Lonchura striata: one gene and its partners. The protein of the gene in region 3 interacts with the protein of the main gene of each other region in a biochemical or structural test. Links are inferred from orthologs where the notes say so. Each region holds a gene or a part of one and is shown on either strand. Other genes may lie near its edges.

Region 1 (3,748 bases), on a different chromosome or scaffold from region 3:
AAAAAAGGTCCAATCAATACATGTAGAAACTACTCAGTTATGAGCAGAGAGCTACAGTCTGACTTTAACACATGTTAAACCTGCCTCTCCCACCCAAACAGGATAGATTATGAAGCAATAAAACCTTGCCAAGATGTTTATGCATCTATAGCTGATAACAGTTTGTACAATATTAAATAGTAATATATTTATCAGAAAGATTTCCTGAACAATCATAGTTAATATTTTAACATCACTTGTGCTAACATGATCTTCAACTTATTACATTATATTCAGATTGGTACTTCACACATAAATGCATTGCAGACTCTCATAAAAGTCACTTCACTGAAACATGTACTGTGTTGTACTTGATAACAACTATTTCATTATCACTGAAAAAAGCAATCTCTCTCCATACATCTCTTTTCCATTTCTTTGCTCTAGTTAATATTCATCATGAACATCTCCTTAACTTCATATATTTTATTATTATCACTTTGGTTACAGTCACCTGACCAAAAGCTGGTACAGTATAATGCATCATGCATGACAAACATGATTAAAACAACATTCAATTGACTTAAAGACTGTGATTTAAAAGGTGAGCACAGGCATCTGGATGGTTAATTACATACTTAATGAGCATGAACTGCATCTGGTTTCAGACATGAAAACTTTCACTATGGTAGGAATCAGAAATGTATTTGCTTTATCTTATTTGGTTTTTTTCTTCACACCTTCAACACCCTAGGTTCTAAGATTATAAATTCATATAAATTTGTAAATAAATAAAATTAAATAGAGCAAGTGGCCCCCTCAAGCTACTAAATTAAGATACAGAATTATTTCCTACAGATTCTGTCTTATACTTGACAGGAACACTGACTGAAGCATCATTTATGTACACATTACTGTGTACATCATTACTGTACACAGTACACCCCTGTCATGCATACTCTTTGACTCTAACAGTATTTGACAGCAAACAAGGCTTTTTTCCCACTGCAGCACCATTGGAGAAAACATATAAGATCACTATGTTTACCTGGATGTTGGTAAAACTTTAGGAACAGGTTATATTTGGGATTATTCCCTGCTATTATATCTGGCTAACATGCACCAAAGGGGGAGAGACAGGCAAACAGTGACTCATACAGAGTCCCATTAAGAAACTTCAAAAATGTGCAGACCAACCTGCTGAAAGCTATCCCAAAAGGATTTTAAAGTGAGCTAAAAGCCCTCAGTTTTTCAGGCAGAGACCTCACAACAATGTTATAGTTTTACACCATGCACTCTCACTTCAGTCATCATGTTCACATCTTACACAAGATTTCCTCTCACCCTTCCTTGCCATGCAAGAGACCCCCCGGTAACAAAAGAGGGAACCAGTACTCTGGCAAAAGCAGTGCTGTGTGGGCCAATGCCAAAGAGATTATTTGCTCCTTCCAGTTCACAGTGTCATTTCTAGGGATGTCACATAAGACTTATTCAGCTTCCATATTGTCTTACAAAGTACATTGTGCCCAGGCACTAGTATTGGCTCCTTCTCTTTTTATTTGAAGTTTTTAGAAAGAGAAGTCACTAGGGAGTTTGCTTGTAAGAGAACACATTCAAAGCTTGCAAGGAACTGTTTACAGTAAGATCATATATTATACTTGCACATTGAGCAAGTGCTAAACACTCAAAGAGCCAAACAGGAGGAATCCTTGTTCTGAGAGCATTTCCCCTCTGCTCCCTACCACCCCACGATGTTCTCAAAGTTTACATGAAATAAGAGATTAACTAGTTGAGCAACTACCAAAGGTTGCTCAAATTATGTCATAAATTCATCTGTTCGGGTCCAGCAAAGGTTTATGACACCTGACAGAGCCCATTCCTGGTGCTAAAACCCCAGCAACAACAACAAAAAAGAGTGATCTCATCAAAAGCGAGACTCCCACCGCTCTCCCCGCAGACCACTACAGAGCTCGGGGCGCCCAGTGCTCGGTTCCCCCCTCGCCGGAGTGGCTGGGCGGGGGGCGCGGAGCCCCGCTGAGCTCCCCGCCCGCCGCTGCCCAGCCCGGCCCGCTGCCCCCGCCCGCACGCGTCCCGCCGCACCGGGGCTCCCACCTGAAGAAAAGTTTGGAGAAGATGTTCGCCTTCTCCAGGGGAGACCTCTGCATGGTGAGGTGAGGTGCGGCGAGATGCGGTGAGCGGGGAACCGGAGGCAGCCGCTAATCGCTGACGCCTCGCTCGCCCACTCCGCTCCTGCGGCTCTCCCACCTTATCCGCCCGGCCGCTCTGATGTCACCGTCCGCCTCCTGCCCCGGCCCCTCTCCCCGCCTCTGCTTTGCCCCGGTTCAAAGGCGGGCGGGCTGGGGCTCCAGCCCGTGCGCTGCTGCCGCCGCCGCTCCTCCCCCGCCTCCCGCCGCGCCCGGCACCGGGCACCGGGCGCGCCCCGCCGCTCCCCCCGCACCTCTCCTCCCCGGCTCCCCGACGGCTCTCGCCCAGCCCCTTACCTCCACCTGCCGACTCAGCTTCCCGAGCCACCCCACCGCGGGTCCTCAGCCTCTCCCCAGCACTAAACCCCTCTTCTGACCAAGTGCCGAGGTGGGGAAGCCACCCCTCCAGATGGGCCTTCTGCCCTCTGTCCAGGGCGGCGGGGACAGCGCAGCGAGGACAGCCCCGTCGGAGCGTGGACACCCCCTGCCCTCCCGGGCGCGCAGCTGCTCACCGCAGAGCCCGCCCCGGTGCACAGGGCGCCTGCTTGCAGCCCACCGAGACCCGCGGGAGCCGGGCCGGCGCTTGGCCTTGGTGGGCACCCGCGGCCAGAAGCCCCCGTCCAGCGCCCCACGCCTCTGCGCGGTCCCGGGGGCGAGCGCACCGGCACACGGGCTTAAGGCAGAGGGCGAGCGGTCACCCCAGGAAAGGGTGCGGGCAAGCGCGATCATACCGACTTTAAAATACACTTGCTTCAGTTTTTCAAGTTCTTTGTCAGGCCCGCACCTGAACCGAGACGAATGGGAACCGAAGCTGTATCTTTAGTAAGTTTAGCTCAAACACCCAGATCTGAAGCTTTATATGTGTGACATACAAACAAAATCACTGCTTTAATGGCGCACAGCAGAAAGCATATTTGAGAGAGACAAAGATGACAAGAAGCAAGAAAAGAGAACATGTTGATTTAATTCTGTACAGGATTTTATTTTATTTGCTGCTTTATTTTGATATTTATACACTCCAATGCCTTTTCATTTCTGTAACTTAAAAAAGACGAATGGAAAAGACCATGCTTTGTGAATGAAGCAGACTCTGCCCTCTAAACTGGCTCTGTAGAGAAGCGAACGTACTTTTCTACATTTAGTTTGCGCTACAATTTAACCAGCTGTTACTTTTTGCAAACTTTGCAGATACTTTTTATTTCAACGTTTCTCGCTACGCGTTGCTGTGTTTTCACAAAGAATTTCTCTTTGCCTAATTCTTTTCTTAGATTCCTGAGCCAACAAGTGCCCTCTTAGGCTGTCACTGCACCGGGCTCCTTTGTGTCTCAGACCTCGAAACCTTCCCTATTCTGCTTTATTAATGACAAAACCAGTAAGAAACGCGGGCAGGCAGGACTCCAGGAAACTGTCCGCATTTTATCATGTCCTCAGACAATATGTACAGGCAGGGCTAAACCCGCCCAGGCTCCAGGACAGCAGCGCGGAGCCCTTCGGCATCCTGCCACCTAGTGGAGCCGGGCCCGGGCCGCCAGCCCATCCCGCACCGCACCGCACCGCGATGCACC
Region 2 (3,748 bases), about 63 Mb from region 3:
GATGTGGCATCAAGTGCCACATCCAGTCTTTCCATAAAGACCACCAGGGGCGGTGGCTGATCAGTGACTGATAACACTCCACAGAGCTGTGCTGCCATCCAGAGGGACCTCAACATGCTGGAAAAATAGGCTCATAGGAACTTCATGAAGTTCGAAAAACAGAAGAGCAAAGTCCTGCACCCAGGGAGTAACAACCCCAGGCACCACTATGGGCTGGGGGCTAGCTTGGGGTCCTGGTGGACACCAAGTTGAACATAAGCCAGCAATGTGTCCTTGTGGCAAAGAAGACTAATGATATGCTAGGATGCATTAGAATGAGTATTTACCAGCAGACCTGAGGTGATCTTTCCTCTCTACTCAGAAGTGAGGACCACCTGGAGTCCTACATTAAGTTATGGGCTCCCCAGTCCAAGAGGGACATGGACATACTGGAGAGACTGCAGTGAAAGGTCACAAGGATGATGAAGGGAGTCTAGTAATCTTTCCTATGAGGAAAGGCTGAGAGGGACTGGAGACCAGGCTAAGAGGGGTCTCATTAGTGTGTATATTGATGAACAAAGGACAGAACCAAGTTCTGCTCTGTAGTACCCAGTGACAGGACCAGAAGCAATGGGTACAAGCTGAAACACAGCAGGTTCCATCTGAACATCAAGAAACACTTCTTCGTTGTGGGGGTGACTAAGCACTAGCATAGGTTGCCCAGAGGGGCTGTGTATACTATGGAGAGTATCTCCATCCTTGGAGATACTCAGAAGCTGCCTGGGCATGGCACTTAAACAGCAGGGATTGGACCAGCTGACCTCCAGAGGTCTCTTGCAACCTCAGCCATCCTGGATTTTATAGACTGCAGAGAAATAAAAGCATGGCAGGGAATCATTCTGCCACAGAGATTAACAATTCTTAGGTTACTTCAGGTACCTGTCCTGCATTTTCTGCTTTCCTTGCAGTTTTCGCTCTTCTTCATCAGGGTCCCTTTGGCAGGCCATAGGTGAGGTGACTGGAGAGGAGGCTACCTGCTGAACCTTTAGAACTGTCAATTTCAGTGATACGCCACGTCCTGAAATTAATTCGCTCCTTTATTATGTATCGCCAACCTCTCCTAAACATTGTTCTTATGGTTTGGTTATCGATTTCTAATAGAAGAATATGCAATATCAGGGAAGGAGCGCTGACAGCAAGCGTTTGGTCCCGCTAAGTCTGACTTGCCCTTGACTCGTGAGGGATTTTTCTGTCCAAAAATCCAGCGCCACCTCGCCTGGCGCTGCGTGCAGCGAGGAGATGCTTTCCATCAGCAAGGGGCACACACAGGTGCGAAAGCGGGGGGAGCAGAGCCTGCCGGCCAGGGGCTCGGTCCGCACTGAGCCAGCCGCAGCGGAGCGGCTCCGGCGCTGCCCGGCACCTCCTCGGGCGTCGCGGGGAAGCCGGGCCGGCAGGAGGCGTCTTGTGGCGGCCAGCCGGAGGAGGAGGAAGAGGAGGAGGAGGAGGGCCGAGGCGGGGGTGCTGGTTCTCCCGGAAACAGCGCCGGCCGGCGGCGGAGCAGCGGCTGCTGGCGGTGGGAAGTCGCCCGTGGTCCTGCGCCCTCGCCGCACGCCGGGCGGGTCGGGGCGGCGTGGCGGGCGGCATGGAGCCGGTGCCCCGAGAGGAGAAGCCTAACCCGCTGCAGGATGCCAACCTCTGCTCCCGGCTCTTTTTCTGGTGAGCGCCCGGGCGAGGGCAGGGGGGAGGGCAGCGCTGGAGGCGCGGCGCCGGGCACAGCGCCGCTGGCTTCACCTCGCCCGGCCGCTCGGGAGTGCCCAGGCTCGGCTGAGGGTGCCCGGCTCGCACTTGAGCGCGGCTCCCGGAGCGTCCGGGCGCCGGGAAGGGAAGCGGCGGCCGGCGCTGCCCCGCTGCTTGATGATTGTGCAGGCGCGGCTCGGGCGCGACCTGCCGCCCGCCCCCGCGGGCCCGGCTGCCAGCGCTGCCCGCCCGGGTAGCCCCGGGTCGCAGGTGGGCTGAGGTCTCCTGAGGTGACGCCGGCAGCCCGCGATAATCCCCGGCTGCGGTCTGCGGACGGCGCAGCCGGGGGCCTGCCTGTCGGCGCGGCGGCGCTCCGCCGGGCGGGCGGCGCCGAGCGCGGCCCCGTCGGCCCCTCGGAGCACATGTTTGTTCCCTCGGTAGCTGCGGGGAGGACGGGAGCGCCTTTTGCTTCCTGGCCCGGGCAGCCCTGCCGGGGACTGGGTGCAGGGCTGCTCCCGGGCATTCTTGTGATTCCCCGTTTGAATAACGGGTCGCGGGCGGGGATTGCTCATCCCGGCGTGAGGCTTTGCCCTCCGGCAGTGAGGTGGTTCTGACCCGTGTGGCTGCGTGGGAACTCCCCGGGGTAAGGGGTGGCGGGGCAGCATCCTGGCTGCGCTCGCCCACGCCTCTGCTGCCCCCGCTCCGGAGGGGCTTGGGTCTCACGGAGCGAGGGCTGGCGGTGTTGCCACAAACTGTACGGGGCCACAGGGCTCCCAGCCCAGAGTTAGTGCTTGGTCTTCTTCTGGGGACCTCGGCGTGGGTATCTATGTGTACTCAAAGAGGTGAGGAATTGCAGCTCGGCGTTTTAGTTGCTTTGAACTGTAGTAGGAAAACATTTGCAAAGTAAAACGGGAGAGCACCAAACTTGTTTGTCCTAGCAGATCCCATTTGGAAGAGCACTTCCCGAGAAAGTTCTTATCCTGCTTCACCGGCTGCAGCCTGAACCAGGGTGCACATGTTGTGTGGTGGAGGAGGGGGAAGGAAGGGAGGGCATGGCAGGTGAAGCTCTTTTTTTGGAAGCCTCTGAAACACAAATTAAAAACTCTTTGATTCTATAAGCAACTCTGAGCAGGTGCAGAAGTCCCCTTTGGAAGGTAGTGGGGTTTTAAAAACCCTGACAAATTTTAACTAAACTTGTTTATCAGTCAAAGATATATCTTCAGAGGTACTATTTGCAAAAAACAAAGAAAATAAGTAAGTAATAATAAAAAAGGCAGCTTGTATGCTGGTGCAGAACTCCCTGTGTTCAGGATTTTGACTTTTCCCTTTAACACCAGGGATGCCTGTGTTGGAAACAGCTTTGTTGTAAAATCCAAGCAGAATGGGATGAACCTAAGTTGGCCATGTAGCATTCCACAACTGCTTCTGGTCTGTTCCCTTTCCCTTGCTGGAATCTTGTGGTGTTACTGGTAGTTCTGCCAAAACCAATCCAGCTAGATGTGATGCAGTGCTCATAGCCAGCTTTCTGACTGCTTGTATCATTCTTTTTGTGGCCTTCTGTATCACTCTGCATTGTTTTTAGGTTCTTACTTTGCTAAGGGAAAATAGGTGGAAGGCTGTGCTTGGGGAATGACAGCTCTGCTCAGAGTCCAGAGATCAACTAGGACTTGAGACTTCACAGTCAGATGCTGGTGTACAACCATAAAGCTTCTGCTTTGGAAAAGCATTTAGTGGAGCATGTAAAGCTTTAGAATTTGCCCAGTGTCCTGCTTATCAGGCTTTTATAGCAGTGTAATTCAAAGCAGTGAAAATAGCCTTCTAAAGTCTTGTCTCTTACCTGTGGTGCTTGTGATCACAACTAACATGGGTATATTAGTCAACAAGCATTAGTGTTTTCTGGGTGTACATTTCAGCTGAAATGATACCTTCATTCTTCTCCACTGTTTAGCCTGGTCAAAATTGAGCCTTGTGGTAAAACTGAATAAGCAGGGGCTGTCAATTTTCTGCAAAAAGTTTTGCATAAAATTCAGGA
Region 3 (3,748 bases):
GTCCAGGAGGAGTGAAGGGGAGAAAAGCCACAAGAAGAAGAAAACAGTGTTTCTCAGCAGCCAAAAAAGTGGTGTGGTATCAACACTGTCTCAGCCACAGATGCAAAGCACAGCAGCATGAAGGCTGCCAGGGGAGAGTTAACTCCACCCCAGCCAGAACAGTACAGTTCCAACTCCTCATTCCACACCATTCATGTCATGTGTGATCTGAGATATCAAAGTATCCTCTGTGCCACTCATACATTGCTTCATTTCTATGCCCTACTCAAACCTTTTCATTCCATCTATTTATCCTTCATGAAATTGCTTCTTACCAACATTTACAACTTATACTACGTACCTAAACCATTGTTACATCCAACAGTCAGGTTTACACATCCTCTATAACCACTATACCTTGTCTCTTGACATATATGCAGATAGTATTCCCCCATTCCACGCCCTCCCTCCCCCAAATTTCCATAAGAACAGTCAATTGCTTTGGCCCTATCTGTCAAGGGGATCACTCAGGACAGCACCACGTTGGATTGTTAAGCAACAAGACCACTTGGGGTGGGTGAGCACTGCACTCACATGGTTCCTGGTGAGGCTCATTCTCTGTTGGTTCAGATGATTCCTGCTGTATTCCTTCCTATATCACACAACTCAAATAATGGATTCTTTTCTGCCAGGGGTAAATCTCCTTGAGGTAGACAGCAGATTTCCACTTTCTCCTGCACCAAGTGCACCTGGGTTCCTGAGCAAAGACAATCCCACAAACGCACTTGCCTTTTCCCAAGGCAGAGAAACCCACACAGCCTCTCCCAGTGCACCTACAGTGTAGCCAGTTTGCCATGCCTCACCATATTGATATCACAAGCACCTCCCTCCACCTGCTCCAGGGAGATTGTACCTACACAGGTCACTTGATTGCAGTACATGTTTCACATGTGTTAAGGCCTCAACAGTCAGGGTCCACCCCTCAAATCACAAACCCTTTTTTTTTCCAATGCATCTCTCCCAGGCATGGTCCCTATCTTGAATTCTTCAAGTTTTTCCATCCTGTTTTCTCCCCATGTCCCCATGTAGAGGAAAGTGGCTCAGTGGGCATCTGGCTGCTGGTCAAGGTTAACCTGGCACAGCCTTTTATTTTTCCATCCAACAATGGGCATGCAAATTTTAACCAGTAACTTCCTAACCTGCAAGCAAATGCTGCTGGCCCAGGTCAATCCAGCAGCACCTAAACCTGCTCACTTTAAGACATTTCTCAGAGCAGAAGACTTTAGCCCAGACAAAGGTCAGGCTTGCCTCAGATGACCTCCTTGAGTGAGTTTTTGAGTATAATATCAGTAGGACAAAATGCAAAGCTAATGAGAAATGCACGTGATTAGCACTTCTGCCCCCAAGGACAAGATAGCCTATCAAAGTATCACACATTCAGTGAAACTTAGTTAAATAAATAATCTTTTAAATCAACCTTTACCCAATCAAAGTCCAGTCTTACTTATACGTACAGCTCAGGAGGAACGGCAAAAGACAACTCCAGTCAAGGCTGCTCTACATTGATACAGGTAAGAAGTTCATTTTTTCCTAACCCCTTTTCCCTTTGGAAAGTTATTTTTGCAAGACAAATGATTTTGCATGGATCAAAAGGTGTTGTATGCAGTGCACTGTAACCTTCTCTCCACTTCTAAATATGAAGAAATAATTTTCTCTCATAGAAGCCTACTGTTTCTCCAGCTCTGTGTAGTACTGGTTTTGCATCTTAATTTATGAATTATCACAGATTCCCAGTGTTTGTCGAGAAAAGCTACTTTGAATGGTACTTGCAATTGATACAGTCTGATGTGTTCTAAACCATGTTTAAATAGCAGGGAAGTTCATCCCAATATTAGCTAATGTCAGTGTAATACACAGAGACTCAAAAATACTCAAAGCACTGGTCCATGGACTACAAGTGAATCATGCTCTGCAGGATGCATATCCTTGCAAACTGAAATTCCTGTATTCTCCAGCTCCAGTGACATCTGTGCCAAACTCACCCCACACATCCATGCTGTTCTATGTGCTGCCCAAGTAACATCAGCAGTGCAGCAAAGAGTCTGCACCGTGGGTAGCTACAGCAGTGGTTCTGCACTAAGCTGCTCTCACAGAAGGATTTGACTGCCAGCAGATCTAAAGAACTGACTTCTGTCAGTAAAGGGACGGGAAAAAAAAGTCTTTCCAGTAAAATAGTAACCAAGGTTGCTAATTATCTGGATTTTTACAACTGGAGGAATTTGTCTTCATTTGTCTCGTTCCCCCATCTTCATGGATCTTCAGCAGGACAATGTTTTGAGAGATGTTCTCTGGCCCCACCTGTTATTTACTTTCTATACATGGTATTCCTGCATGACGAACTTCACCCAAACCACAGTTTCTTCACATCCCAGAGCATTTTAGGTAGGGACTTTTAGAGGTGGCCTGGTGCAATGTCCCATAGAAAACAGAGTCAGCTTAGATCAGGTTACTCAGGGCCCAATCCAGGTATCTCCAAGGACAGAGATTTCACAGCCTCTCTGGACACTTCTAGTCATACCTGACTGGCCCCAAGAGGAAAAGCTGTTCTTATGAATGTCTGGTTGGAATTTCCCTTGCTGTGCTGCAGCCTGTCTGTTCCCTCTCATCCTCCCACTGTTTATTTCCAAGAAGAGTCTGGCTGTGTTCTCCACACAATCCAGTTAGGCAGTGGGACGATATCAAGAAGATCTTGCCTTTAATTTCTCTTCCCAAGACTGAACAAATCCAGCTCTCTCAGCCTCCTTAAATAAGTGTTTCAGAACCAAAATTCCCTCTGTGAACTAGCTCAAATATGGTAATTACTTGGGGAGATCAAAACTGGGGATAGTATTCACATGTGGTCCCCCAAGTGTCAAAGGGAGGGGAACAATCCCTTCACTCCATTCTCTTTTCCCAAAACTTCATTTCCTTTGTAAGACTTAATCCTGGTATTACACCCTTTCTACAATCCTTACTATGTTTTCAGGCAGGCTTTCCTTATTTCAGTTCTGCATTTTGCTTAACTTCATGTGAGATATAGAGAGAAAAAAAGCAAGGAGGGTCAGAGATTCTTCTTGCTAGTCTTGTTAACTAAACTCAGCTTTGCACAGCTGTTTTTTTTGGGGCCAAAAAAATCCAAACCAACCAACCAAAAAAAAAAAAAAAAAAAACCTAAAAAACACCCCAAGAATTCTGAAGCAAACCCTCTTGATATGCAATTAGGGAGAATACACCCCAGGTAAGCTTCCTGTTCATACTCACAGGTGTTTTCTCCATCCTGTCTGGTAGAGATGACTCCTGCTCTGCAGCCCCGAGAGTGCACAGTGAGCAAGAAGCCCCAGAAGAAATACGGCTTCTTCCTACGGATCGAGCAGGACACGGCGGGGCACATCGTGCGGAACGTGGAACGCAACAGCCCGGCCGAGAGGGCTGGCCTGCAGGATGGAGACAGAGTGCTCAGGGTCAACGGTGTCTTCGTGGACAAGGAGGAACATGCACAGGTACAAATCTGTTCAGGCTGGGATCCACACCATGCCCCAGGCCCACAGCTGCTGTGTGAAGCTTTTTCTTCCAGTTTTTATGGCTAGGAAACCCAGGAGCAGAGTCAACTGCTCTGAGTATCCCCCTGTATCGTTCATTACCCACCATGGGCATGGAATGTCTTTGGGATGCCTCCCTAGTGCATGAGCAGGGGGTGAGACAACAGAAGCAGTAGACAGTGCAGCTTTTC

The links.
Region 1: the proteins of PDZK1 (region 3) and CFTR form a complex in vitro, tested with the Homo sapiens proteins (2 studies listed by BioGRID and IntAct, with this or other methods). The link is inferred for Lonchura striata from reciprocal best matches to the Homo sapiens genes PDZK1 and CFTR.
Region 2: the proteins of PDZK1 (region 3) and ABCC4 form a complex in vitro, tested with the Homo sapiens proteins (2 studies listed by BioGRID and IntAct, with this or other methods). The link is inferred for Lonchura striata from reciprocal best matches to the Homo sapiens genes PDZK1 and ABCC4.

What each region holds. Positions count from the first base shown.
Region 1 is NC_134607.1:34,226,125-34,229,872, forward strand, and holds the start of CFTR (cystic fibrosis transmembrane conductance regulator), read right to left. Parts: upstream 2,267-3,748; 5' UTR 2,145-2,266; coding exon 2,092-2,144; intron 1-2,091. UniProt on the Homo sapiens protein: Epithelial ion channel that plays an important role in the regulation of epithelial ion and water transport and fluid homeostasis. Mediates the transport of chloride ions across the cell membrane.
Region 2 is NC_134604.1:76,663,698-76,667,445, reverse strand, and holds the start of ABCC4 (ATP-binding cassette sub-family C member 4), read left to right. Parts: upstream 1-1,530; 5' UTR 1,531-1,621; coding exon 1,622-1,695; intron 1,696-3,748. UniProt on the Homo sapiens protein: ATP-dependent transporter of the ATP-binding cassette (ABC) family that actively extrudes physiological compounds and xenobiotics from cells.
Region 3 is NC_134604.1:14,078,350-14,082,097, forward strand, and holds the start of PDZK1 (Na(+)/H(+) exchange regulatory cofactor NHE-RF3), read left to right. Parts: upstream 1-1,495; 5' UTR 1,496-1,550; intron 1,551-3,306; 5' UTR 3,307-3,308; coding exon 3,309-3,518; intron 3,519-3,748. UniProt on the Homo sapiens protein: A scaffold protein that connects plasma membrane proteins and regulatory components, regulating their surface expression in epithelial cells apical domains.